Callithrix jacchus: one gene and its partner. The protein of the gene in region 1 interacts with the protein of each later gene in a biochemical or structural test. Links are inferred from orthologs where the notes say so. Each region holds a gene or a part of one and is shown on either strand. Other genes may lie near its edges.

The links.
Region 2: of the proteins of FBXO7 (region 1) and UXT, one has a biochemical effect on the other in vitro, tested with the Homo sapiens proteins (2 studies listed by BioGRID). The link is inferred for Callithrix jacchus from reciprocal best matches to the Homo sapiens genes FBXO7 and UXT.

Annotation. Positions count from the first base shown.
Region 1 is NC_133502.1:203,537,170-203,540,823, forward strand, and holds part of FBXO7 (F-box only protein 7), read right to left. Parts: intron 932-3,654; coding exon 704-931; intron 1-703. UniProt on the Homo sapiens protein: Substrate recognition component of a SCF (SKP1-CUL1-F-box protein) E3 ubiquitin-protein ligase complex which mediates the ubiquitination and subsequent proteasomal degradation of target proteins and plays a role in several biological processes such as cell cycle, cell proliferation, or maintenance of chromosome stability.
Region 2 is NC_133524.1:48,614,946-48,618,599, forward strand, and holds part of UXT (protein UXT), read right to left. Parts: coding exon 3,589-3,654; intron 3,309-3,588; coding exon 3,201-3,308; intron 1-3,200. UniProt on the Homo sapiens protein: Involved in gene transcription regulation. Acts in concert with the corepressor URI1 to regulate androgen receptor AR-mediated transcription. Together with URI1, associates with chromatin to the NKX3-1 promoter region.

The DNA.
Region 1 (3,654 bases):
AAATTACATCATGTAAACAGGAATTTCTCTCTTCAAAGACTTACTTCTCTGCCTAGCAAAGCCATATTATTTAAAACTCCAGCTCAAATATCACTTCCACTGTAGAGCCTTTTTCAAAGAAAAATTGTTTGCCATTTCCTTTTGCCCCCTAACATTCTATTCATATTTCCATTACACTTCTATTGTATTATTATCTAGGTTTACTTATGTTATTTATAATTATCTTTTCATTTGTCTCTCCCCCATTTATGCATGGACTCCTTGAGGATAAGAAATAGCCCAACATTTTTATATCCTAATTCCTGGCTCAGTGCATCTCACACTGCAGCTGTGCTCTGATCACCAAATTACTCTCGATCTCTGTAACTTACAACATGGTCCACAGACCGGCACCATTGGTATTATGCAGGCATATGCAGAAGTTCACGATCTGTTATACAGTTACTAAATCAGAATCTGCATTTTAGTAAGATCCCGGCTATTCCAAAGCACATTAAAGTTTGAGAAGCTCTATTCTAAATGTTCTCCTCCATGAATTCCTGGCATCCTATATATGCATATGTCTCTCCCAGAACTTCACCAATACAGTACAGTGCTTTATATATTTATCTATCTCTGCCACTCTCAGACTATGGGCAACCTGAGAGCAGGAACCATCCACATGTAGGAGCAATAATGTTTGTGTTTTGCTTGCAGTAATTACCTGAGGTGTGTAACCTGACTCCAACATGAGAAGATGTATCAACACTATCAAGGCATCACTGGCATCAGAACAGTTAGCTGATTGATACAAGGTCTCTAATGAATGTGGCACTTGCCCTTCCACCGATTCACTGCAGAGCATGGGTTCTGAGGGATAGAAACCTGTGCTCTCTTCCATAACCGCAATATCTTGAATTGACTCAGCTTCAAAATTTTGACTGGGCCCTGACTGAAAAAAGGAAAACAAAACAATGAATTCATTAAAAAGACTTATTTTTACACAATACATTTTTGTATTCTAGAGTGAACTAAGTGCTGAAAGTCAAAGTACATCACTGGGTTCAGAAATGGGAGACATTTTAAGTGAGTCCTCATAAATAAATAAGCCTGTGACCTACTCTTCCATCCTGAATTCCTCACCTCCATTAATGCTAGCTGATATGCCAAAAACCTGGAAATCATCCTAGACTCCTCCCTCTACCTAGCTAAACCTAGTCCCAAATCTGATCAGTCTTCAAAGTTCCACTGAAATTAATTCCTAAATATGTCTAAAATTTGCCCCTTTCTACTCCACTGGTACTTCAGACTCTCATCATTTATTTCCTGACCTCCAGCCAAAGCTTCCCTTGCAAGTATCCCTGCTTCTACTTTATTGTCTTCCAATACATCCCACCCACTGCGGCCAGAGTTTTCTTGACAATTAAGAATCTGATCATGTACTATGTTCCAGCTTAAAATTCACCAGTACCCCCCCCCAATACAGACAAGAGCACTTCCCTCAATTGTGCCTTAGATGCTCTTAGGAACAAAGGTGGTCCACATGGAATAGACGTGGAAAATGCTATATGCTGCAGCCACCTAACCTCACCCTCCATATTCACAAAATACACTATTAGCATTATAAAAGCACTGAAGAGTCTAATAACAGTAATAATAGTGTGTATAACACTTTAGCAAAAAACATCATCTTCGGTCCTCAACAGTCAGCATCTTTGTAGCACAATCTCATGAAATGAGATTTTTAGAGGACACTGAGACACACAGGCCTACAAATTAAGCCCAAATTTCTAAATCCCTTAGCATCCAAAGTGCTTCATCATCTGATTGCTGACTCATTTATCAAGTTCACTTTCTGCCAGTGCCTTCTTACTCACTGCAGTATTCTCTACTTCTTCAAAAGAGGTAACATGACCACAACTCTGTCTTGCAACGGCCTTAATTACTGCACCTTATCAAAGTGTCTTGCAATTTTCTGATTACATATCTGCATCCTTCCATGACTGCAAACTTATAAAAAACAGAATATATGTCACCCATTTTTGTAACCCCAATAAAGTACTAGCACATTGCAAGTACTCAATAAATCTTTGCTGAACAAATGCTGAAGGATAATACCTTACAATTTCATAATGTCTTTATTTTCAAAATGTTTTCTTATTTGCACCTTATAACAATCCTATAAAATAGGCATGGCAGATATTGTCTTTTTATAGATCCTATAATTGTAAATCAGAAAGATTAAATAACACAATCAAGGTTATCCAGCTAATAAAAATTTGAAATGAACCCAGATCTCCAAACATGCAGTTCAGGGCTTTGAGATGTAATACATGACTTCAAAAAAACTACGTTACCTGTATTAAATTTGCTCAGAAAGCTTGTTTCCTAAGCATATGCTCAACTCTTAATGCAAAGCATACATTTCCTTGTTTTTAGGCTTTGTATTTCCATTAAAGGGGCGAAGGAAATTAAAACTACACAATGTGTGTAAAAGGTTGGAGGAATGTAAGGGAGCCAGAGGTGACAGCTGTTCTTCCATAATCTCTGAGGACCTAAGCCCTATGACTTATGGAAAAGCTCCACAGTCACTTGTTAAAACCTAGAGGCCAATGACAAGTCACACTACTTAAAAAGGAGCACAAAAATATTTCCATGTTTTCTGAGAAAACAGAAACGACTACATTGAAAACCACGTAATATCAACTGAACTATGAAACACAGGTTTTGCTTCTTTACCGTTACACCTAACGTTTGGCCATTTACTACTTACTGGCAGTTGTGTGGGACAGAATATATGCGGAAAATGAGTATATGAGAGAGAGATCTCAAAATCCTCTGGTGGGCTTGTCAAACCTTACTCCTACTCCATGAGAACCACTGACATTCTCTGAGCTATTCTGATATGGATATTTATCAAAATCTTCACGTGTGAAAATGAAAAAAAAAATGGTGAGCCCCACACCTCTCTGAACAGATCATTTTGCCATATGGCATTTACAAAAGACTAAAACAAGTGCCTAAGATGCACGAGAGCTAATATTACGTTCTGATACATGTTACCTCGGCTTCTCATTAAAGACTCAAGAGATACTAGATGAATTCTCAAATATGATAAGAAAATTTTATATACAACTACAAGAGTAACATTTACCTCCTATGGATTCAAGTTTTACTCATCTATTTTCCTTTTCTAATGCTCCATTCTACATTAGCAGAGTGTAATGTACTTGAAAGCATTATTTATGAAATCTCAAGCTCAGTTTTCATACTTAAGATTTTCCTATGACCCTTTACAAGTCTTAGAATATAAAGCAATATGCAAAATTTTAGAACTGAAATTAGTAACTTCAGGCAACATTAATTTCTCAAAATTTTCCAAAAGAAAACTAGCAAACTGGTCAGGTTTGCAATCCCAGCAGTTTGGGAGGTTGAGGCAGGTGGATCACCTGAGGTCAGGAGTTTGAGACCAGCCTAACCAACATGGAGAAACACCATTTCTACTAAAAATACAAAATTAGCCAGGTGTGGTGGTGCCTGCCTGTAATCCCAGCTACTCAGGAGGCTGAGACAGGAGAATAGCTTGAACTTGGGAGGCGGAGGTTGCAGTGAGCCGAGATCGTGCCATTGCACTCTAGCCTGGGCAACAAGAGTGAAACCGTGTCCCCCCAACCA
Region 2 (3,654 bases), on another chromosome or scaffold:
GCTGAGGTGGGAGTGTGCCTGGCATGTTTGAGGTGCAGCAAAGAGGCCACTGTGGCTGGAAAAGAATAAGTGAAGGGGGAATGTAGGCGGTGAGGTTAGAGGGGTAATGAGGGAGGCAGATTGTGTAAAGCCTACAAGGTCATGGTAAGGACCCTAGCTTTGACCTTAAGTGAGATGGGAACCAGGGGAAGATCGTGGCAGAGGAAGGAGGTTGAATTACATTAACTAGTCAGTTGACTCCTTTTATCTAAGCCAGTTTGGATTAGGTCTCACCCAAAAGAATCCTAACTGATATAAAGGGTCAAGGAAGGCCTTTCTAAACAATGAAGAATGAGAAGGAATGGAAGAATGCCTAATGATTAAGCAGGAGGAAGGCCTTTTCCACAAAAAGGCCAAGAGGCAGCAATGAGCTGTTTGAGGAGCAGTGAGGTCAGTGTGTTAGAAATTAAGTGAATGGTGAAGGAAGGTGGTATAACAACATCCTAGATCATCCGGGGTCTTGATATCATGATAAGGAATGTGGATTTTATTGTGTTGTCAATGTAGGAGTCAGTTTGAGGGGTAAATAAAACTAAATACTATTGGAAAAGTAGACAGCATTAAGACAGGATGCTAAATTGGAAAAAAAAAGTAGTATGAACCCATATGTACCAATATCTCCCATATTTCTTTTTCTAGCCCAGAACTCTCTTCTGAACTTGACTAGGAGTTTTAATGACATCTTCCAAAAATCCACTTCAGTGTTTAATAAGTACATCATACCTAACAGGTTCCAGACTAAACTCCTGACTTTCCCCTCCAAATCCAGTCCTCCCCTACCGTCTCCATCTCAGATAATGGCAACTCCGTCCTTCCAGTTGCTCAGCTAAAAACCTGGACTCCCCTCTCTCACACTTCACATCTAGTCAGCCATTCTACTTAAAATCACGACTGCTCCATTGCTTCTGATCTCCACGATATGCTTTCTCCATAGCACTGTCAACATCTGACATACTACATCATTCGTTTATTGTTTATCTCCCCTGACTAGAATGTCAGCTGTATGAGGGCAGATTTTGGTCTTTTTTGTTTACTGCTGTATCCTCAGGGACCAGAATAATGTCCCTGAGCAGGGACTGTTCTGTGTCAATGGCACAGAGCAGGCACCCAACGTATATTGAATAAGTGCCTACTCCATTCAAAGGAACCTGAAGTTGGTTGAGTGTATGTTTAGGAACAGGAACTAAATGAAGTATGGGTGTTGTTGCCAGAGAGCAAGAATACTTTCAAGAATATTCTGGGGTAATGCTTAAAAAACAGAAGAATGAATCTGATCAGTTCCTAAGGGCCAATTTGAACATAAAAAATGAGAACAAAATTAGTTAATGGTATAAGCTTAGCCTATGAAAACCTATGAGCTTAACACTTAAGAAGAAAAATGCAGTTTACCAAGTGCTAGCTGTAACACAAAAGGGATATGTTTATTACTACTGATTTATTTTTATTTTCTATGTGGAGAAGCAAAGTACTACTGATTTAGCATGTAAGGTAGTGTGAGCAGTCATATGGTTATGCTGTTTCTTCTATAATTACATGTCTATACATGAGATGTGGATGTGTAGTCCTTTCTGTGTCATCAGGAAAGAATATACAGAGATTTCATCCCTTCCACTTCCTGAACAAAGAAATATACTAAGAACAGGAAGAACACTTTTGATCACATAAAATAACCAGAAAGTTAGTTCAAAGTATATCCCAAGTAACCAAGTGTTTTAAAGGGGAGAGCCAGCTACATAGACTCAAATCCTCATCTCTTAGAAAAATTAAACTTCTAGACGGCCCTACTAATTATAATAACGCAATAAAAGAGTCAACTATATTTTTCATCACACTAATAGACCAGGTAGTATATCAAAAAGACCAGGCGAGGGAGCAGGCACTGACAATTTAAATATTTCATTTGGGAGAAGTATACGGAGTCTCAAAAAATTAAAATCTATTTGATAGGCTCAGGAATCCTGTGACATTAACAAGGAAAGCCTTCTTATAAAAACTGGACTTTAGCCAGGTGTCATAGCTCACGCCTTCAATCCCAGCACTTTGGGAGGCTGAGGTGTGCCAATCACCTTAGGTCGTCAGTTTGAGACCAGCCTGGCCAACATGGTAAAACCCCGTTTCTACTAAAAGTACAAAAATTAGCCAGGAGTGGTGGTGAGCACCTGTAATCCCAGCTACCCGGTGCAATGGTGTGCCTGTAGTCTCAGCTACTTGGTAGGCTGAGGCAAGATGACTGCTTGAGCTCAGGAGTTTGAGGATGTAGTATGCTATGATTGCAGCTGTAAACAGTCACTGCATTCCAGCTTGGGCAACACAGCAAGACACCATCTCTTAAAAACAAAAACACAGAGTGTCTACTATATGCTTGTACTACTCTAGTCACCTTGGGTATAAACCAAATCTCCCCCTTTGCAAAACTTATATTCTAATTGGAGGAGACAATATGAGAAAGAAATTACACAGTAAATATTAGGGCATGATAAGTGTTATGGAAAAAAAGTAGAAGGAGGGGAATCAAGTGTGCCAGGGGCTGTGATTTTAAAGTTAGGTTACAGAGCACCTGGTTGAGGAAGTGACATTTAAGCAAGACAACTGAGTAAGGAGAAAGGAAGCCATGTGGGTACTGGGGAAAAGAGCAGTGCAGGCAGAGAGAACAGCCACGGCAATTGCCCTGGGGTGGGATCATTCTTGGGATGTTGAAAGAAGCATGTGAAGGTCAGTGTGGCAGGAACACAGTGAATGAATAGTAAAATTAGCAGGAAGTGAAATCACAGGTAACTAGTTTTCTTGTTACCAATTTTAACAGGCTGAGACCTCATGGATCTGGTCATAATTCTATTTATGTATAACAGTGTAGTCCTTCTAGATTGAAAGCCTTCAAGGAACTCTTCTGTCTTGTTCACTGCTGCATTCCCACTGCTAAGCAATGCCTGGCATACAGAAGATGCCCAATAAATGTTTACATGAACAAACAATACAAAGATCATTTTTTGAATGCTTATTATGTGCTACACATGGGCTTTGCATCCCCATTTCTTCAGTCCCAGCTCTGAGGAGGTGGGGAGATGAGTCCTTAAATATCATTCCAGGCAGCCATTGGGAAAGAAAGGAGAGTGTTGGAAATGGTAGTGTTTTTACACACTATCCTCATGGAATGGACTTACTCTGTGAGGAGAGAGCTCTTACGATCAATGAACCTGAGAGCTTCTGCCAGTGTCAACTCCAGGAAAAAACCATATCCCAGGGCCACATAGATGCGTGAAGTATCTGGGCTGAGGAGAGAGAGGTTAGAGGAAGTGGAGGGGAGTCCTCATCACTGTTTAGCATAGTTTATGTTTTGCTTCCCACCCTTCCCCAAATTGAGCCTCTGGGAAGGCAGGGATTTTGTCCGATTTTAATCACTGTCACATCCCAGCACCTAGCTTATATCCTATTGGGATATAAAATCTTGTATAGTGCCTGGTATATAGAAGATACTCAAAAAAATATATGTTGCATGAGGGAAGGGGGAAGCTGAACCCCGTGGGCTCAGAGGGATGGGTAGACACTCACACCACTGTGTCAACGAAGAAGTTACAGCCCAAATCCACCTGCATATATAACTCCGAGTGCTTAGCT